3 linked regions of the Arabidopsis thaliana genome follow. The protein of the gene in region 2 interacts with the protein of the main gene of each other region in a pairwise test. Each region holds a gene or a part of one and is shown on either strand. Other genes may lie near its edges.

Region 1 (6,722 bases), on a different chromosome or scaffold from region 2:
ACAATGTAACGAGAAGTTTAAGTTCTGTGTTTTTGTTTCATAGATTTGCAGAAATTGGATGTGTTTGAGAAGCTTGAAGCTAAGTTTAAGGTAACTAGTGAAACTTTTAACGGTTCAATGGTTTTTTAAGAGCACTTGACAGTAATGTGTTTTGGATTATGTTTGGTTAGGTTGAAGGCAAGGAAGAGAAAGAAGAAGGGGAAGATGATGAAGAAGTTGTGGAATCAGAAGGAGAAGAATCTGATAACGGAGATTATGATCAGGTTTTTGCTTATTTTTCAGATTAATGTTTGAATTGATACCTTGTGTGATTCTTCTTCTTCTTCTCAAGTTACTTAACAACTTTGTTCTTGAATGTTTTTTTGTAGAATCAAGACTTTGATGATGATGACGACGATTATAATAACGAGGATGATGGATGTAAGAGTCATCATCTTTATTCTAAGATTGCATCCTTTAAACTTTAAAAATGATTCTAGCTAACTTTGTTTCTCTCTTTTCTTGCCAGTAGTTGAAGAGGTGTATTAAGCTGCTTCTCCTTTTTCCCAAAACAATCAAGTTTTGCAGTCAAGAGAAGCTAAGCCTGTCCCAAGCTTTAGTTTTATTTAAAAACTCTCAAGGCATTTATTTGTTTTGTTCCCTTGGTTCTTATCATATTGGAACCATCCCCTCGAACTGAAGAATATGAAATTCATGTTCAAGCGTACAAATTTCTGTTTGGTTGAAAATCACAGAGCTTTACGTTCTTCACTCAAGAATTTCACTAATCTTCCATAAAGTTAGTAACCACTGAGCTTTAGTGTCGTACATTTCGCACAAGATGTCTATTTGATTCGACTAATATTCAATTTAGACAAATTCTTCAAGCTAACAAAGCAAATCAAACTTTGTCCTCCCAATGCTTTACACTTCTTGTATTGCTGCATTAATTCCAGCTGAAACCATTAAAATCATTCTGGAAGCGTTGTTGCATAGTTTTCATCATGTGTTAAGAACGTAACGCTGTTCGGTTACGTGTGTTGAGCAAGCGATCTTCACCATTCTTGTTGAAACTTAGTTGTGTATATTTTTCACTGTTGTGATGATCTTGACCAATCTCGTTGAATCTTTGAGGTGTATATTATTAACTGTTGTGATACTACCTCCTGTGTTCATGTAATCCAACTTCTATTGTAGCCTGTTATTATTATTGTGTTATCCCATGATATCCACGAGGCTTCATGTTTTTACTTTTACAGAAGTACACAGAATCTTCTTATACAAGAGTTTTATCAATTGATAGTGCAGTTACTACTAATCAAACCCATTTTATATTATCTTCGTCTCTTAAACATCATTCCTTTTGCTACATTTTGTTTCTTGAAACTATTTGGCTAATTCAAGTGAAAGCTTTGGCAAACAATAATGTGTCTTGGTTCCTAATTACAATGATACATATACATTGGCTCCTAATTCCTGTCCAAATCAAAGTAATCTAGAGAAAACTACTAGAGCCTAATCAGAAGATTAAAACAAAAAACAATAAAACTAAACTTGAAAGAACAATTCAGTAGATATTCGAATCTATCCATTGAAGGATATTTGGAATTGAAGGGCAAAAAAGGAGAGAGCTTTTTCACACCCAAAACTGATTCGGATTTTGATATAAGCCTCTGTCTGAACAAGAAGGTGTTCCTATATTTCACATTCCCGTTATTCGGAGGCTATTCATATACATATCACTCTATACACAGATTCTTCTGTCTGAAACTTTTTGGGGAAGAAGCTTTGATTTGAATTAAGAAAACACAAAGAAGCTTCTCCACAAAAACCAAAGAAGCCACGAATCAAAACAATACAGAAAAGTATTGAATGATCAGAATTGATTTACGCCTCCTAACTAAGCCAATAAGTATGAAATTGCCTAAATAACTTAGGGTTCATAAAGCTACTCAAGGAGGCGGATTTTATCCCCAAATATCAAAACACAAAACAAAAACGATAGAGATTAACAAAGAGACTTATGAGGAAGATGAGTTACGAAGAAGACAAGAGTGGCGCAACCCTTTTTATTCACTCTGTTTTCTAGGGCTTTTCTTGGGTTGGGTTGTGAATGACTATTTTACCCTCCCTAATTGACTGACCGGTTAATGTAATGTGGTCTGGTTTTCTTAAACCACTCAATCTGTTTTAACCATTGGCTTTAAGAAAAAAGGCAGAGTAAGATCTGTGAAAATTAAAAAGGCCAGCAATATTCTTTGTACAATATTACAAAGTTTGTAAGGTTACATGAAGTTGTGATTTATTTTGGTGGTGTGGTGATGGCTGATGCAACTTTGCAAACTTCCGCATAGCAAATATCTCTGCCCGTTTTATTGGGACGTGTCGTGACAGTCGCGTTGCTTCTGCGGGATCATTCCATTGGGGCAGGTGGACGTGCTTTAGTGAGGGGCGTGTAAGACTCAGGTTAGAGGAAGGAATCGAACTGTTCAAGAGCATGAAGACAAGATTTGGTGTCACACCGGTTATCCAACACTATGGATGCGTAGTAGATCTTCTTGGTAAAGCGGGGCAGATACAAAAAGGCTTATGAGTTTGTATTAGCTATGCCTATAAAGCCTGACGCTATCTTGTTAAGAAGTCTTTGCAATGCCTGCAGCATTTATGGAGAGACTGTAATGGGTGAAGACATCGGAAAGACTCTTCTCGAGATAGAACGAGAGTAGGAGAAGCTTTCGGGTTCTGAGTGCGAAGATTATGTCGCTTTATCAAAAGGTAGAGAAGCTGAGGAAGGAGATGAAAGAAAGAAGAATCAAAACACGAGCTGGTTACTCTTTTGTTTAACATAGCTTGTTACAGGTCAGGATTCAAAACACTACTCATTTAGTTTCATCAAGTCATTAATTAACATTACACAACAAATAAACTTGCAGGTCTCGGTTCTGTTAAAAGCTCTGTTATCCCCTGAGGACTCTCTTGTCTTCTTCTTCTTCTTTAAGCACTTGCATCACATCAACATCTACACACAGATAAAGATATTCAGATCCCAATCTTCTTAATCATAACGTTGTTATGAACAAAGTCTTCTTACCGTGTAGAATCTTGTCAAACTCGATGTCTCTTGGTCTCTTCTTGGATTTGTGCTCTGTATCAAACTCTTTGCCTGTAATTTCAATTACATCATCGTCGCTGTCGATGATATGAACTGCATCCAGAGGATAGTTGGTCTCGCAAGCCGAAGCATTGAAGATTATTACACGGAAACTCGAATTCTTCTTGTATTCGAACAAGAGAAAGTGGCCTTCCTCGATGGAATGAGCCTCTGCAAACTCACTCCAACCCTCATGGAACCAAATCTCTTCACCGATCCGTTTAAGCTTTATGGAACGCTTATATCCCGCAGGAGTCACTAATGTAACAACCTCTGAGAGTTTAGACCCTTGTAGCTTTACGAATCTTGGCGGAATCCTCTGCTCAAAAACATAAATAGATTTTCAGAAACAAGTAACAAAATGTCAGATCTTAAATTCTCTACATTTCTTAAGAACAAATTATCAAATTAGTGTATCCCTTTTAGATCTCTAATCCAAGATAAAACAAAAGAAATGGACACTGTTTAGTGAATCTGCAGATATTGAAACAGGAATAACAACACACATGCAAACACTTTATTTCAAGTTTTTTCAAAGTATTAGGTAATTACCATCATCTTATCCTTCATCGTTGAAGGTAAGACCAACTTGAAGAACTTCTTCACCGGCGACTCAGGATCTTGCTGTGATTGGCGGTGAGAGACTGAGGTGGCTCTGGCCTTCATGTTTCGGGTAATAACCATTTTTGTTTGCCTTGCTCAGACAGAGAAGAGAAGGAGAAAATTGAGAGTAGAGAGTGATGAGTGGAGACTCGTTAAAGAGGCGTAAAAGAGAAACCGAGAAGCCAGATAAGTTTTCTTGTCGTTATGTTAGTAAGATTTTTATCTGACGAGTGTGACAGAGTTACTTTAACTCTTATGTAGTTTTCCAACACTCTTTTTGTACAGTTCTCAAGTCAAAAGATAAGTCTTACCATTATTGAAGTTTTTTTTTTCCTTTTGGTATACAACCTTCTATTTACATATATAATTTTTGTAAGAATTTTAGACAAAAAAACCTTAAAATAGTATTTAGTTTTTAATCTTTACAAAATTTATCTAAAAATTTTTTGTTCTACATTTATTTTTGTATCTAATTTATTTGATTTTATATATACAATACATATACTCAATAAAATATTAGTTTTTTTTTACTGCATATAATGTAATTTAAATTTTTAAAAGAAAAATATATTACTCAATTGATAAAAAAAACATGTATAAAAAATTCTATATTATTTAAAAATTTAGATTATGGTTCAGAGTCATATTATAAAAAAGACCAAATTGATTTTGAATACGAAGGAACAAAAAGCTTATAATGGGACTATTGTGGCTGTTAAAAAAAGCATCCAAATTAAAAGTGTTATCTCGTTTACTCTGGTTCTTTATTTTAAAGAATTGAATCAATAATTTTTTAAAATATTATAAATATTAAGATTTTATTAAAAGTTAATTATTACAAATTTTACGACTTTTAAAAGTTAAACTTTATAACTATAAATATTTAAAAATATATATGGTGAAATTAAAATATACTAATAGGACGATATACTACAGGTTAGATCCAAATATAATAATCAAAATACAATTATAAAGTTTGGATCGATATTAATTTTTTTTTAAGTTTGAGACATTAATAATATTTGAACTCTATCAGAAAATGACAAAAAATGTTTAATTTCCCTGGATGTGATTTAATGTGGGATGAGTTTGGATCGATATTAATATGAGATGATATACTATGAAGAAATTTTATAATTAACAATCAAAATACAATTATACGATTTTAAAAACTAAACAAAACTAACAATATTAACAAAACAAATATAAGGTGTATCATACATAAAAAATAATAACATATATTTATAGATCATCTTAAAAACAAAAATTTAATTTTTGATAAAAAAAAAAATAGGTATATAGTATATCTTTTAATATGTTGTTCAAATATTAAAAATATTAATTAAAATAAATCTTTAGTTTTTTGCAAATCAATCTCTAGTATAAATTTTAAAAAATAGCATTTAAATTCGCTTTTATCAATAACCAATGTATAATTAGTTGCTACATGTCATAACAATCAAAGCCTAGTTTCTAATAAAGACTAACAACACATATTCCTAATAAACACTGAACTAGATTTTAACCCGCGGTATACCGCGAGATGATTTATTTTTAAAAAGTAATATATATTAAAACTTGCAAATTTATTTTTATAAAATATTTATATTTTACAGTTTATAATTGTTATTAAGTAACGCTATACCACAAATCCATTAGACAATTATTAAAAAACTGAAGTTTTAACCCTATTAAAACAACATATTAATAATATTTTAAAATTTTATAAATATTGATTCAAATACATCCACCATATAACTCAATTCCAAAATAAAACTCGTTCTGTAATTTCTTTACCCGTCCCGTGATTTTTTAATTAAAGTAGTAATTTTAAAAATTTAAGAATTATTTATTAAATATAAAAGTTTTGCAAATTGTATCATTCTCTAATACATTTATATTTTATAGTTTAATTTTATATATAGTAACATTATACATACCACGTAACATTTTTGGTTTTATATAATCTTTTCTAAATTAGGATGATTTGATATGTTTAATATTAGTGGTCTTAAAAAATAATAAAATAAAAATTTAACCCGTATTGAAACGGTGGATTAATTAGATTTTACTTTTTTATTAATGTTGATTCAAAAACCCGTCCCTCCAAATCCGTCTTGCCAAAAAGCCATTTATTTTATTAATATTAATTTTATTTATGATATGACTCTGAATTATAATCTAAACATTTTAGCTAATAACATAGAAATGCACCATATTTATTTAATAGGAGAATGTACTATATGACCGGAATGCACTTTTACCCAAATCCACCAAAAAAGTCTTGCAAAAATACTATAGACCCGAATGTACCATATTTTTTTTGTGCTAATTTTTCTGTGATTATGATTTAATTGATTTCGTATATAAAATATTAAATTGTTTTACGAACTTATTTGTTTATAATTTGGTAACAGATAGATATTTGAATATTCGGTATATTTTGCTTCAGTTTAGGAAATCTTTGATGACCCGTCTTTAAATCCAATAAGCCCTACAATTAAGAGATGAATATTGTCGTTAAATAATTTTGGTAATCTTAATGATGTCATTAAAAGATTTTGTTTTTGATTTAAATTTTCTAATGGCATTGTCATGTAATTAATTACAAAAATTAAGGTTACATTTAAAATGTATTTCCCAAATAATATAGTAGGATATGGAGATATTTATACAATTTACTTTTTCTTTACCTGCTTTGGACATTTGGACTTGATATATAAAAAATTTAATTTTTCCTAATATTTCTTACATTTCAATATTATATAACCTAAAATAAGATAATGAATTTCAAAATTCTTATATCTGTTTTTGGTGAGTTTTCCTTTTTTGGGCTATAATTATTGACTATTGAGCTACAAAACCTATTTCCTTTTTTTTTTTTCCACCGTGTGGATCTCACGCGGTTTTGAAAACAGCAAGACGTTCATACGTCTAAAGCTATAAACGACACAAAGTGCTATTCTCCTTTTCTGAGTTAATGTTCACA
Region 2 (9,228 bases):
TGTTAGAAAAATCTTGCGGCATTTTTTATTTAGACCATTAGAACTTGTGCAATCTTGTGGAAGATACTGCAAGGGTTCACAAAAGAAGTGTTGTCAGATGAAGAAGAGCCAGTGCCAGTGTTCACAAAAACAAAGGGGTTCACAAAAGGGCTAAACAATTTAAGTAAACGTACCAGTGCATCTTCCTTTAGATTTGAAGCCTTGACAAGGGCTACAAAAGAAGAGTTGCCAGATGAAGAAGAGCCAGCTTCGGATTGTGAACTGTTCTTCCTCACTTTTTTTACTCTTTCAAGCTGATCTGTGTCAAATAAACAAATCCCACATGTTAAAACCATCTTCGGATCGAAAACTTTATGTTTTTAAAACTCATCAAACTAATATAGAACGGAAGTGATGATGAAACCGGTCTTGTCTTGATCATCATGACCTTCTTCTGTCCTTAGACGCTGATGCTTCTTACTTGTGTAAAACATGTAAGAAATCTCCGTTCATATAGATGCAAACAAGGCTTTTTTTTGTACAGATTTTCGAAATCTTTCTTCAAAGGATTGTTCTCTCAACTCAGATCTGACTATAGCTCGTTGATTAAAAACGAAAATCATCAGAACAAAACGTACCGATCTTGTTGATATCATTGTTGCTGGGCATGGGTTTGTCACGGATGTCACAGGCGCTGACGTTGAACAGCATCGTTGTCAGTGGAGAAGAATTAATTTTGATATTCTGGTCGGAGAGAAAAAGAGACGGAGATGAAACTGTGTAATGTCCGAAATGATTTTAGACCCAACAAAGAAAAAAAACCTAATGTTCAGATAAGAATCTTCTTTTACCTTTTAGAGAGCATGCACTTTTGGGAAATTTTTAAACATGGGCGCGTACGTAGACTAAATAATTATGAGTTAAATCTAGTTGATGATTTTGTTAAGGAATTTGACCAACCTTGGTTTTGCTTATACTTTTTAAATTTTTTGTTTTATGGGGCTTCTAAAATTCACCTTTCTTTACTAGATGTAACTTTAATTTATGAGATGATTTGTTAACGGTTATTTATGAGAGAAATTAATATTTCAACCAAATTGACGGATTATTGTTAAGTGGTTAAGCTCCCGCGCAAAACTAATATCTTTTTAGATTGGTTGAAAAGCTGAATCGGATAAGCTATTGGATTTGTAAAATTTATTTTTTTTTGTTTTTTTTGCTTCTAAGAGTTTTTTAGAAAACTTTTTATTCTTAAGAAGTTAATTTGATGGATAATAATCGTTGACATGGGTTTGTAGTTTAATTTGGTATGGTCAAGGTTTTATTCTTAGGAAGTTAATTTAATGGATAATACTCTTTTTTACTAGATAAGTTCCCCCGTACAATGTTTTTAACAAGCTAAGAAGTTAAGTCAGATAAAATATGGGTTTGTAATTTAATTTAGATTGGTCTAGCTAGTTTTTATTAGTTTTCCATTCAACGTTTATTTTTTTTAAGTAGGTCTTCTCGTGGTATGTCATAGATTCTGTTTTTTCTACATCGATTATAGTTATGTTATACAATAGTTTTGAGGGTTCATCTAATGAGAATCTATGAAAATCCACAACATGACCTCTCAAATTAGCATCTAAGTATATAGAAATACACTAAGTCTCCTTTAGCTTAGTAAAATGCTATATACACATGTATTATAAATACTAGTTGTAATATTATGATTCGATTATGAGAATTTACTTTCTGATTATGAATAATATGGTATGAGAGCAAAGTGCTTAACAAACTTTCTCTCTTTCTCGTTCTTCTCTATTTTCCCGGAAAATTAAAATTTTCTTTATACATGTGTTATTTTTTCAAACCGAAATATACCATATATATATGATACATTATTGTTAGATTTTCTTTTATATCATTACATCATATTTCTAAAATATATTTTTCTAATATGAAAAACAAGAGATATTTTCCCTATATTTTATCTTTATTTTCTTCACATTAAAATAAAATAAAATCATTTGATAATAAAATAATTAAGGATTTTTGTCGGTTTTTGTGTCGGCAGTTTATGGTATAATATCTTATAATTTGTTTCTGTTTTTTTCCTCTTCACTTTACTATAAATGTGAGAGATTTTCCCTATATTTTCCCTTTATTTTCTTCACATTAAATAAAATACAAAGAAAGATCAAATCATTTGATAATAATATAATTAAGGATTTTTGTGTCTGCAATTTATGATATAATATCTTACAATTTGTTTCTGTTTTTTTCCTCTTCACTTTACTATAAATGAGAGAGATTTTCCCTTGATTTTCTTCACATTAAACAAAATACAAAGAAATATCAAATCATTTGATAGTAAAATAAGTAAGGATTTTTGTCCATTTTTTGTTTCTGCAATATATGGCTTAATATCTTACAACTTGTTTCTGTTTTCTTCCTCTTCACTTTAATATAAATGACTCTTCACTTTAATATAAGTTACATTTTCCTATATTTTATCTATGATTTTCACATCATTTAAAGTAAAATATAAAGATAAAAATATATGATGATAAAAAAAGATATACAGTATAAGATGTTAATTTTGATTTTTTGCTACATGTATAGCAGATAGCCCTTTAATTAGAAGTCTATCTCTACTACATACTGAAGTATGAAGTTTATGATTGGTGTCGACAATCAAGATGTTTAGTGACCCCCAAAAATAATTATATAAAATCTTTAACGATTCTTGTTTAGTAAACCAATATTATCTGAATTAATGATGATTTAAACGGCATTTTTTAACATGAAAATTAAACCATAGAAGGAAAGAAGTTTATTTGAGCGATGATCCTAGACATTCTTAATATTGTTCTCAAACTTTGGAACAAAACTTAAGAAGAGGAACTGTGTCTTCCCAAATCAACTCCAAGATAAACGACTCATTCATCTCAACACCATTAACCTCGCAGAAACCTTTTGAACCTCTTCCTAAACTCATTGTTCCGATCTTGTCCATCAGTAGTGAAGTACGCCATTTTGCATCGTATCTATCAACCATCGTTATCTTCCCCGCCTTTTTGATTCCATTCCGCTTCATGAATTCAAACGGAAGATTCTGTAGATACCATCATCAGATTATATATCGAGAGTATTAAGTGGAAAAAAAAAAACAAGAAAAAAACAGAGTTTTCTTGTGAAACTTACAAGTTTACTTGAATGTGTAAGTGTTAAGGTCACAAATCGGTTTTGGCTTGTTGAGTTTTTCTCTTCTGTGGAAACATATTCTTGTTTAATAGTTTGTGAACATTGTCCTTGCCTTATATCTTCATTGATAGGTTCAGCAAAAGGAAGAGTATCTTTCTCGCTAGCTTTAAAGGAGTCATTACAGTAAACTTCTTCCCCAAGAAACTCATTTTCTGTGGCTTCCATGCCAAGAAACTCTTTTTTGGTAACTTTTAAACTCTGTCCATGCCTTGTGTCATTGCTAGGATCTGCAGAGGAAGAAAGTGCTTCTTGTTATTCAATTTTATTTCAATATTTTTGTTTCTTGAAAGAATAAAGCATAAACAACTTACTAAGTTTGTGTAGATCTTCACTGTTCAAGGGTAACAACTGGAGCACAGGTGTTTCTTCGTTATGGACTAATTTGAATTTGAGCAAGTCTCCTGGTTTCTTCCCATTAGCCACACAGAATCTTCTCCAACCTCTTATCGTTAAAAACCGGCCTGTATGTGCCTCATGTTTCACATCTATCGTCCATGATTCTCCCTCTTCATTCATTAGACACATCTGAAATTTCTTCAACAAACCATTTGACATAATGAACGTCTTCGGAAGATACTGCAGTCAAGTACAGTCACCATGAATATCATTAAAACACCTCTCAGTCAAATCAAAATCAATATATGTAAGTCAGGAGTATCATAACCAGTCTATCTCGGCTTAGATTTGAAGCCGTGACAGTGGCTACAAAAGAAGAAAGGTCCGGTGAAGAAGGAGCTGCTTCTGTTTTTCGAATCTTGTGTCTTGGAAGACTCTCTGTATCAATTATAGAATCTGATTGAGATTTTTCTCAATAACCAACGGATTATGAAAATTAACTTACGAAGTTTGTCTAAATCTTCAATGGTCATAGGGAACAACTGTATCATAGGTGTTTCTTCATTTTTGACCAATTTGAATGCAAAAACGTCTCCAGGTTTCTTCCCATTAGCAATACAGAAACTTCTCCAGCCTCTTCTCATGTAAAACCGGCCGTAATTATATGCCTCGCGTCTCAAGTCTATCTTCCATGATTCTCCTTCTTCATTCATTAACACAATCTGATATTTGTTCATCAGACCATTTGACAATGCAAACTCTTTCGGAATATACTGCAAATGCCGCCACAAGCCAAGTTAGATAGAGTTATCAAGAATATACAATAACATAAAAATTACTGTAATGAGTAATATGGAAGTAACATACCAATGTATCGCGCTTTAGATTCGAACCCGTGACAGTGGCCACAAAACAAGAATCTAGTGAATTGTCTGGTGCAGACTCAGCTTCTCTCTTTAGACTCTTTTTCTTACTTGAAACATTCTCCGTACCACAAAGTTTCTCTGTTGATAGATTAAGTAATATTCTTAGACTCATTCTAAATGTGCTAATGATATTTAATATGAAACTAAGGTTACCAATTTTATCCTCTTCAAGGGTATCTTCTCCGTATTGAATCTCACAGCAACTTGGTCCTAAAGCTGTGACATGGAACACTAACTCTCCTTCTTGTCTGAAAACAACAATGTCACCAACTCGGAGATCATGTGCGATTGTGAAATCTTCCCAACCATTAGAGAGTCTCCGGCCGTCTATCTTCACTTTCCATGTCATCTCCGATGCATCTGATCTGAGCTCAGCCGTTTTTCCTACGTTAGTTCCCACTAAGTACTTCAAGAAGAACGCCACAGGAATGTCCTGAAACAGCATGCTAGATGAGTTACAAACAGAAGTAACTTAACTGGTCGGAGAGAGTATAGAGAAACAGAGTACCAGGTGGTTGGTGAAACCGGGAAGAAGTGGTTGGAAGAATTGTGGGTTGATCGGAGAATAGAGAAGTGGATTAGCCATATTCAGACGTTGAATTTTTTTAAGTTTTTCTTCTTCTGAGCGGAGAGAAGATGAACTAACAACTTTGTATCCCTTACTTCTGTAATGTAAAAAAATAACCTTTCTCAGCTTTCTATACAAAACGTCAAAGAAACTTTCTCAGCTTTTTCTATAAAGCAATGTTAAAAAAGACCTTTATCAGCTTTTTCCAAAGACTATATATTGTTTTCGAAAAAAACAAGTTTTGACTGAGAATAGTGTTGGGATTGAACATAAAGACTCTGATTGGTTATGGAAAATATTCATCAAATAAACTTAGCAAATATCAATGAACGAGAAAAATAAATCTTGAGAAGACATTGGTCTTTAACCAAAAGAAAGAAAAAAAGAAGAAGAAAAAGATCTGAAACTAAATATGCTTAATTCAACACGTAGGTACCATAATAATGTAAAAATAGTTTACAAGAAATTAAATCTTAGGAAGTGAAAACATTCATGTTTGCTATCAAAATATCATATGGTTTTGACAGTAAATTAGTTAGTTACGTTGTGGATTCGTTTTTGTCAAAAAGAATAAGAATTCGATTCTTTGTTTGCATTTACGTTTATATTTTTCAAAAAGTGAGTTTATTGTAAAACTGAAAAACGTTTTGTATTTTTAACAATGTAAAAGAATATTTTAAGTACACGCAAAAAAGGCTTAAAATAATAGTGTGTTCAATCTTCAATGTAAGCAACATTTCTCTTGAAACCACAAACAAAAATCACGAGAGGGAACTATTTGTACATCAGTATTCAGTAGCACTGTAGGAATACGTATCACGTGCATCTAGGCTATCTCTTTATTCCCCACAAAGCAAAAAAAGAAAAAATCCAAACTAATCACTACAAAGTACAAAGCGCAACGCACCAAAATATCCATCTTTTCTTTTGTTTGTGAACAGTTCCATCTATTGTCTCCTTTTCCAGTGAAAACCAATATGTATTGGGTCTGAATGGAAGAACAGAGGAGTTACGGATATAAAGCAGAGCAGGACAAACACAATTGTATCTTAATAAACCAATATATCCAGTTATTCACCTGTACTTGGTTTTGTCCTACTACAATAATAGATTTGCATTTGAATGCATTTAAGTATATTAAAAAGTGGTTAAACTAACACTATTACTACAATTATCCAAATTATTTTCGTTTCTAATATTTATTCTTTCTATTTTCTACTTCTATGTTAAAATGTCTTAATTGTCAAACTATGAAATCCACATCTCACTTTGCGCTGAGACCACATCTTTTTTTCAGCATAAACGTGAAAATTTCTTTAGATTATATTAACTGCATATAAGTATAACCCAAAAAAGAAAAAGTATAACCCTAATTCCAGATAAGTTAATATGCTACTAGTCGTTAGCACATAAGAATTTATAGCATTAGGTTTAATGTCTTGCATAACACGTAATAAAATCTACCTCTATTGTAACTTTGATAGTCTCTCTTAAATGGGTCATTTGTTTCTGAAAATCCTTATTTACAAAATAAAGTACAATTCTTCATTCAAAAGAAAAAAAAAGTACAATAGTTTGGTATAATAATAGCATATGTTTTTTTGTTAAATTAAAGACTGTCTTGGTCATGAACTTGAGACATATTTAATTGTGTCTTCCTCTTGACAGGCATTTGTTGACTTGATGAACACGGACTCATCTCTACCTTATCGAGGTACGAAACCTGGTCTTTCGCTAGGAAACAATATGTGAAATTTCCGAGTGCCATAACACACACAAGTAACACGCCAACAAACAGAAACAAGAAACTGTCTATGTCAAGCTGCCTAGAGGTGAAAGAGGGATTTGGATCTGGATTAGTAATTGGATCAGGACAGCTTTGTTCTTTCTTCTTGAACCATGCACGCTCGAGCTCCATTGCCTTTGGAGACTCTGCTACTTTTAAGATGGCCCTTGAAACATCGGCCACTAGAGGTGATCCGATTGGAAAAACCTGCGAAAAAGGACTTATGATCTCTCACCATTTAATGCAATTTTCACATAAGTTTTGATATAGGAACTTACAAAGCCGAATCCATCAACATTGAAGGGTTCTTCAACCATTTTGTATGTGTTGCAAAACTGTCCAAGAAAGAGTCTCAAGTAAGGTATTTCCAAGAAAGCTCCAGAGACACCACCTTTTTTTGGTCCTTTACTTAGAAGCTCATCACATTCTTCTGCAGTATCAAAGGGCACAAGGCTAGATTGCGGGAAACCTCTTTCTTTAAGCTTTCCAAGGATGAAGGATGTTCGCTGATAACCCACTGTTTCTCCTTTTTCAAGCAAACTACTCATGCTGGTTATTGTTGGATTTAATTTCTGTGATGTCAAAAGCGATGCCAAACTCGCTGTGTAACTCTGGGTTAACACGAGAACGAGAAAGTACCATGCGATAACCAGGGCCCTCGCCCAAAAGCTAAATACTCTTTCTCCTGCAGACAGGGAATCGAGAATAAGAATCAAGCAAGGTGCATGATATATAGGAACATATATATGCTGACATGTAGAGAGGGGAGATTAAATGTACTTGGAGCAAAAACCATGGTAGAGAAGGCAAACCAACAGATGGTACTAGCTTGGAATCTAGGCGGTCCACTAAAGTCCGGATTACGCTTATATTCGAGAACCCATACAGTACAACCGACAAGGAAGAAAGAGATAAAGGAAGTCAACCATAGTTTCCATGACAAAGGTTTCATGAAAAGTATATAGTCTCTCTTTACTGGGTCTGTCATTTCAACGATCAATCCGACACCTGATTTAATAAATGGGAATGTGAAGTCGACGTAAGAAGACCTGTTCACCAATATGGTTGTATCTCCCACAACCGCATCATATCTCTGTGACAGAGAAGCAAATAAGAGTTCACTTAGTATAGTTATAAATGCTATATTGATGAATGATTAGTATGTGCTCATACTCACCCCGAGGTACACTTGGTAGACCAAGTCGTTGTAATTACCGGCTGTTTTTCCGTCGGGTTTTTCGAAAGGTATGAACTCATATGAGACGTCATAAGGCAGTTCTCGAATCACAGCCTCAAAGAAATCTATGCAAAAACCTGTGACTACAGTTGAATTGGTAATAGGATCCCTTGTGACTTTCACAAGATCAGTGTAGCCGGTTCTTTTGGGAACTCCAATACGCAACTTCTTCCCCTTAGTCGGGATCTGCCATCCTTTCGGAACAGAATCCGCCTCTCCAGGCCATACAATGTGTTTAAGATGATCTTTCCAAGTAGATAAAGCGCTTATGCTACTTGCTTGCTGATCAAGTTTCTTCACAAGACCATTTCCCTCCTTCCAAAATCCTATTGATTTTTCTCCGGTATTGATTATATTGACAATCTCAAACACCGATGGTTGCAGTTGCCCGCGGAAAAAACGAAACTCTCCTGCAAGTCCTCTGAACTGAACTGTTAAGAGTGTTTGGAGAAGCTTTGGACCGAACTGAGATAAACCAAGAGCTTCAAGTTCAGAAACATTCCTCCCTGTATCCACCACTTTACTGAAAGTCATGTTATTTGTTCCAGCTTCTTCAATGGCTACCGCTAGTGCGGTGGTAGCATCATAAGCCCACAGACCATAGACACTCAGCTCCACCCGTGGGAATAAACTTCTCCATCGAGATCTAAACTTCTCAAGATCTGGGGATTTTGGAATATAAGTTTTAATACCCAATACCCCCTCCATAGCCTCAACAGCCGTCTCATTTATCAAACTTAAGTCATCGATAACTCCATTGGTAAGGATCCAGACATATCCTGGTTCCATCAAACCAAGCTCTTTTGCTTTAATGAAGAATCTTGAGGCAAGATCATAGTACATGTGGACAAGGAACACTCTTGTGGGCATGTTCATCATCTTAAGAAGCTCCACGGAGATTTCATGATCAGTGGCATTGATAGCGATAACGGATCTATAAGGTATCCGGACATTAATATCTTGTAAAGCATCGGTAAGACGAGGCATTATACCTTCACCAAAGGTGTTGTCAATGTAAACTGGCACAACTTCTCTCCATCCGAACAATTTGATGATGGCTTTTATTGGTTGAACTTGAAAGGAGTCTTCGTACGTAGCACGTAAGAAGTATGGACTACGAAGGGAAGTAAGAATTGGGCTTGTTGCA
Region 3 (6,607 bases), on a different chromosome or scaffold from region 2:
ACGAAATGAAAGAAGGATGTGATAACATGGCAAGCCTTTAGCTTAGGCAGTCCCATGTCAAAGAAGGTAGATGAGAAACATACCTTGGGTTCCTCTTCTTTTCCTTATTTGACATGAGATTGCCAAGCTATAAGGCTTGTGTTAATACTTTTTCATATTCTCTTGTGCAATCTGAAAGTTTTATCTTCATCCATATCATCATCTTTGTCTTTCACCACCACAGGGCAGGCTGAGTTTGTGATAACCAAGACAAACTTATAAATGTAACATGATGGAAACAACATTTCCAGAAACCAAATGGAACATAAACATCAGCTAAAGTGACAATTAACCATGCTATTCTCAATCAACAAGGACTATACCATCATTCTTCTATTAAGCAAGTCATCACCATCTTTCATCTATACGAGGATTGAACATTATATATTGAACAAACAAAATGGGATAAAGACTTGTCAAAGCAGCAACAAGTTCCAAAAGAGTGACTGAGAGCTTACAAAAAAGGCAAAGCGATAGGATTTGATAAGGTTTCAAGCCTGAGTGCCTGTCAACGACTTCATCTGAATGTGATTAGAATCAGCATTGTTAGTCGGCAAAGCTTCATAAGAACCAGTTCTTCTCACTCCGGCCGCCATCACCACCATCGTGTAAGTCACAAAGATGAGGATAACCACAAGCACGACGTGTACAGTGAACATTAGATCCAATATAGAAACAGCTCTTAGCTTAGAGTCCTGAATATCACATTGGGTTGATCCTTCAACACCGCTTTGAACATCAAGAAGACGATGACATCCCTCAGGAATAAACCCATCAACGTAGAGAGAGAGTCCAGTCTGAAGCTGCCAGAGACCTTGAAGACAAATGGCAGCAGCGAGAGCAGCGTCAGCAATAAAGAGTCTTGAACGGCAAGCGAGAAGCAAACAGAGGAGAGAGCATAACGCGGAGATACGAGCAGAGAGGGAATCACAATGAGCTTGAAGATCAGATGTTTGAATTGCAGCTGATGAAGACGCGGCGGAGTAATGGAGGAAGAAACCAACGGAGGCGAGTGCGAAGAGGAGATCGGAAGGGAGAGGGATTAACGAGGTTGAATCGGAGAGGAGATAGTAAATGGCGATGATGAGGAAGAGGAAGAACACGGCGGCGGAATTGAGAGATGAGAATCGGTGAACAGGAGTACTTCCTTTGACGAGAGGATCGGAGTAGAAGGAGATTAGGGTTTCGTGAAGGAAAGCGACGAATAGAGAGAGTATGAGGATGAACAGTGGTAGATTTTGGAGGCGGTTGTGATTGTGGTGGTTGTTTCCGGTGACGGAGGAGAGACGTGGAAAAGGGTAAAAGGGTTTCGCGGCGTAGGATTGGGGAGATTTAAGGAGATGGAAGAAAGTGCAGATGAGATGATACAATCCTAGGGTTAGTAGTGACGCTGAAGCGAAGAGCTTGTACATCATCTCTCCCATTTTCGAAGCTTGATTTTAGGGTTTTGTTGTTGTTGGTCGGGATTTGTATGACTGATAAACTTTCTCCGATCTGCTTAAGAGAGGTAATAGAGAGGACGATCTGGTCAACTGCTCCTTTAAGTTGACCGGTTAGTATTGTTAAACCAGCTGACTTTTTCGGTTATTTGACAATTAATTGCACTATTTAAACCGGTTTTATAATGGATTTTCCCGGTAGTTGGTAATTCAATATTGTATTTGTCAGGAAGAGATTGATTGGTGCTTGATTTGTTGCAACATGACTACATGAGCATGATGTTTCACATTCTTAACTAATAGAAATGGATTTAGACTATTTATGGGGACGAAGTGGTACATACAATGTGTTGGTGACGACCAATAATCATAATTAACTAATAGAGCATTAAAAAAACAAAGAATCAACCGTCTTAATTAAGCAAAGCAAAGCAAAGCTGCTATAGACAATGAGAGATTCAGCTAATTATGTGATGGCAATATGACAAAACAGTGGCTGCAATAGCTAATGTTGTCATCCAATAGGACTGAGAAAAGGTGTTGCCAATGGAGGAACTTCGGTCTGAGTTTGTAGATCCTCCTCTAGAACCTGCAAGAACACAAAATATTCATGAAACATCTTTTGATTGAAAAAAAAAGAAAGAACTAAGGTTTGAGTGTGTACGAGTCAAGCAAGCAATGGGATTGACATGTTCTCCACATCGAGCAGGCAACATTTGAGCATCATTGACATCGATGCCAGCTCGCTCGGCTTGAGAACTCCAACGGTTACTAATCATACGGCACAAGCACTCTGGATTGTTCCTTATCACTGATTTGAGAGGATTACAACAAACTTGAGGTACTTCCTTGGTCCCATTCAGGTAATTTAGGCATGGAGCAAGTTGGTTTAGACACGAAACGCTCTGCCCATTTATCCGCATCCCCGAGCTAGCTGCAACTAGAAGAAGTACAACGTAAAAAGAGAAAAACTTCATCCCCATCATCATATCACCTTAGTTTACTATTTTGAGTGTTACTAAAACACTTTTGTACTTGTTTAATTTTTATGTTTGGTGACCAGCTTTTAAGATAGGTAGACATGGTTCACCAGTCAAACCTACTACCACCGTTTGACCATCCTCAACAGGTAAGTTACCAGAAGAACCCATCAAATATGAAATAATTTTACATTACGTAAGCAAATACCAAAACCACAGAAGTAGAATAACAAATTGTTATTCCATCCTAGAATATAGTTCTCGTTCAACCATAAGAAAAACACACAGAGGTTTGGGCTATACAAAGTATGTCATGCCAACTAATAACCCATCGAATAATGGGCTTTTGATGTCCAAGGCCCATATATATTAAATATGTATTTGAAAGTAACACAAGAGCAGTTTCTTGTTTTCATTAATCAAGATACAAATGATAACTTGTTATTGAAAAACTAATGACAAACAGTCACTTTGATCACATAGGCAGAGATCAAGGACGGCGAAACATAGATAAACCCAAAAAAGAAGAAGAAGGAAAAGGTACAAATGAGGAAGGTATTAAATATGGACGATGAGAAAGAATTAGGAGCCAAAGTAGTTGAAACCTTGAGGGAAAGAGTCAGAAACCGGAGGCATTCTGCTGAACATTGGACTATGTACGTACTCAGACGAGTAGTCGTCACCGGTCCAGGTCCACTGTGGTTGGCTATAACACGAATTCGACAAGTCGCTCGGGAGAGGAGGCAGCTCATTACTACTGTCATTAGAATAGCAATAAGAATTCGAAGATTGAGAGCCACCAAACATGTAACTGTCCACTTGATCACAATGAGGCTGAAGCATTGGCGAGTCAGTGGATGAGTATTGGTTAAACATCATCATGTAATCGACAGGATCATTGCTAGGAGGAGCAGGAGGAGGTGGAGGAGGAGGAGGATCGTCAGGAGAAACAATGGAGGTGACGGATGAGGAAGGAGGCATGTCTGAGTAAACAAAGTTGGTTCTGGCACGTGTGCCACGCATGGACCGAGCAGCTCTATCGTAGGCCAAGGCAGCTTCTTCCGCCGTATCGAAAGTGCCAAGCCAGTGACGCTCCTTCGTAGTTGGGTCTCTAATCTCAGCTGCGTATCTTCCCCAAGGCCTTCTTCTCACCCCAAGAAACCTTGTACCAACCTGATCGTCTTGCTTCTTCTTGCTCTTTGATGATGTTGTGTTCATCTTTCTAATAATGATACTATACCTTTATGCATACACAGATCAATAAATGTCCGATATATCTATCTTTTTTCTAGTTGAAGGAAGAGAGGGAATGTGTGTTGGTCTTGGAAAAGTATCCCTTACCACAACCCTTTTATATAAGAGCTATACCTTTCCTTTTTCTCTCTCTTTTTTCATTGTGTATAATTCTTTTATATATCTTTTTATTCCAATTGAAACAACATTTAAAAATGGCTCTGTGTTGAGTTAATTGTGGCCCATGATATATCAATTATCAGTCAATCAAAAGTATATAATTATGATTAAGTTACCACTTGATAGCATGTTTCATGCATTTCTCAAGGTTGTTCTACACTAGTGATTTCATTTTTATACATGGTTAATTCTGCTAAAATATAATGCTGAGTTCCGACTGCCTTTAATCATACAAGTGCTAATATATCAACTCAATCAATTACAATAGTAATACATAAGAGCTTCTTTTTGTTAGGTGATGTATATATTAGAGAAGAGAGTGAAAGAATAACAAAGAAATTAGGATCATTATCAAAAATAACTTAAACAAATACAATCCGTTAGCATATTATATATAAATATCGATAGATACACATAATCATCATTCATCAACAATAATAAGCTGAAACAAAGGGATTAGGAATGATAAGAGCCATGATTAGCATGTTACCTTAGATACCAGTGTCCCGAGTCTAATAATAATAACATGTCCGAATTGATTAACAAATTAACGAGAGATAACGTAATAGATAAACTATTCAATTCAGAGAATATATTTGGTATAACGCGTCCAAATACTACTGCATGTGATGGTCCATATTGAATGATGGAATGTGCATGAACTGCGAATTTAACATGAAAAAGAGAAGCAAACCCTGATTATTGCATATATGAAAACGCAAACACTTTCCGTCTTATCAATCATACAACACATAAAAAAACAATGAGTTTGGTGTTTTGGTTAAAGTTAATAATTGGTAAAGAAGGGTGCAATGATGGCCGCATGATGGAAGGTAGTCGACTAAATTATGAGGAGGAAAGTCATTACTTAAGCAGCTATTATATCATTATATGTGTATTAATCTTGTATTACTAATACGTCAGAGTAGGGTTTTGACTTTTGACCAACACAAAATTAAAAGAGTTGAAGTCTCATGCATTAGAGAGAGATTATGATATTTGATATGAGTATCTAAGGAAGCAAGTGGTAGCCTTTCTAAGACGATCTTATTTTGTGTCAGAGGAAGACCAAAGACCATTTATGTTTATGTTTGGCTACACGACCAACGTTATGGACGGTGATAGTGGATCGTATCATTTCTTAATCTTTTATAATATATACGTCCCATTTGTCTACATGTACAATAATCACAATGTGTGTTAGCGTTAATTAATTAGAGATTAGTCAAAAACAATATAGGGGTAGTGCATGTGCTCCCAATTTTATAGGCTGCAACTTCAATGAATATTGCCACACCCTTTTTCTTTCATCTCCCACTTTCTAATCCCAAGGCATCTATCTATTTCCTTATAATTTAATCATTTATGTGTTTGTCCTCTTGGCTATGAATATGATATCGTCTCTTCCTAAATTCAGTTTCTCAAATTATATATATTCTGACCAAAATACTCCATTCATATTCATTTGCTATATACTATTTTAAAACAAACATGCATTATTGAGAACAAAGGAATTTGGGTTGCATGTGAGCAATCTTTTATGCTTTTGAAATTTTATCTTTAATCTTAATTTCATTGGAGTAAACAAGCCCTATAATTTATGTTCCCTCACTTTTGACCAACTCTCATTTTTCTCGTTTAATTTTATATTCTAAAGTCCAATCTTGATGCATTGAATCTTGTTTACATTTACGTTCCGCTTCTATTCTCTATCGCCTCTTATTATTCTCCGATATCCACAGACCACAGGTTTCTTTACTTAATTAGTACTACGTTCTCATGGTCTACGGTGGAATATTAGTACATGTAAGAACTATATAAAATGTATCAATGGACAAAATATTTATACGAATCCTACTTAATTAGGATTTAGGTCAAGAGCCCTAATTAAGCCCTCCCAGTCAGATCACCGCCTTTTTCACTACCATCACTACTCTTAAGTGACTTCGGCATTTGCAATACCATTCTCGAACGTTGTATGTAACGTCCTCGAACAACTGGAGATATACACAAGCTGACAAGTGAACACATGCATATCCCAATTCTTAACTATATCAGTTTTATGGAAATTGGAAGGATGTTTTGTTCTATGGTCCGAGTCTCAAATTGACGAAACTAGCAATTCTCTATAACTCATCTCGAACTATTCTTGATGCAAATAATTTGATGATCAATTATCTGAGGGTTTGGGCCTCTAATTGTGTTAGTTTAGTAGAAACTAGAAAGAAAAAAAAAGGGAAGAAAGAAGAGAAGGCATGTGCGCCCAACGTGGAAAGGCATTTTCTTGGACGCTTAACATAATTAATCCTTTTTCTAATTATTGCCTAACACAAACATCTTTTGTCTTACTTAAATCTAATTACTCTTTTAATCAAACGACCATGTGATGAGCGCACTAAGTAGATTCATAATTCTCAACCACATTCAAAAGTTAAAAACAAAGTATGTCTGCTTTTGGCTCATCTAAACCTGAAGGTGACATGGGAGAAAATTTAGGGGCACGAGCTTTGCAGTCACCTATCAATTAATCCATTAATCTAACTAGTCTATACACGTTATCCGATGAAGAAGTGTAAAATGTTGGAATTGCCGAGTTAAAATAAAAGATAATTACCTTCCAACACTTGCAAGGGCACTAATATGCAAATGCTCAGGTTCTTCTTCTCTTTAGACCAACAAACTCATTTTGCTTAAACACTTCTACTTCTTTTCCTAGTTTATCTGCAGTTTCCTGCA

Evidence for each region.
Region 1: the proteins of AT2G24700 (region 2) and AT4G01580 interact in a two-hybrid assay, tested with the Arabidopsis thaliana proteins (one large-scale study listed by BioGRID).
Region 3: the proteins of AT2G24700 (region 2) and LEP interact in a two-hybrid assay, tested with the Arabidopsis thaliana proteins (one large-scale study listed by BioGRID).

Annotation. Positions count from the first base shown.
Region 1 is NC_003075.7:682,883-689,604, reverse strand, and holds AT4G01580 (AP2/B3-like transcriptional factor family protein), read right to left. Parts: upstream 3,936-6,722; 5' UTR 3,815-3,935; coding exon 3,683-3,814; intron 3,450-3,682; coding exon 3,071-3,449; intron 2,999-3,070; coding exon 2,937-2,998; 3' UTR 2,719-2,936; downstream 1-2,718. Other genes in the region: AT4G01590 (DNA-directed RNA polymerase III subunit), read left to right, coding at 44-90, 171-263, 369-420, 509-528.
Region 2 is NC_003071.7:10,510,213-10,519,440, forward strand, and holds AT2G24700 (Transcriptional factor B3 family protein), read right to left. Parts: upstream 5,200-9,228; 5' UTR 5,077-5,199; coding exon 4,999-5,076; intron 4,924-4,998; coding exon 4,644-4,923; intron 4,569-4,643; coding exon 4,432-4,568; intron 4,338-4,431; coding exon 4,070-4,337; intron 4,003-4,069; coding exon 3,893-4,002; intron 3,805-3,892; coding exon 3,540-3,804; intron 3,456-3,539; coding exon 3,169-3,455; intron 3,080-3,168; coding exon 2,837-3,079; 3' UTR 2,672-2,836; downstream 1-2,671. Other genes in the region: AT2G24696 (transcriptional factor B3 family protein), read right to left, coding at 1-66, 174-298, 618-690; GLR2.3 (glutamate receptor 2.3), read right to left, coding at 6,668-7,051, 7,123-7,529, 7,625-7,937, 8,022-9,228.
Region 3 is NC_003076.8:4,479,410-4,486,016, forward strand, and holds LEP (Integrase-type DNA-binding superfamily protein), read right to left. Parts: upstream 3,839-6,607; 5' UTR 3,677-3,838; coding exon 3,041-3,676; 3' UTR 2,719-3,040; downstream 1-2,718. Other genes in the region: AT5G13890 (plant viral-response family protein (DUF716)), read right to left, coding at 531-1,463; AT5G13900 (Bifunctional inhibitor/lipid-transfer protein/seed storage 2S albumin superfamily protein), read right to left, coding at 1,937-2,067, 2,143-2,467; AT5G13920 (GRF zinc finger / Zinc knuckle protein), read right to left, coding at 6,522-6,607. UniProt on the Arabidopsis thaliana protein: Cell division-promoting factor involved in leaf blade differentiation, inflorescence branching, as well as in carpel and silique shape. Promotes the number of xylem cells.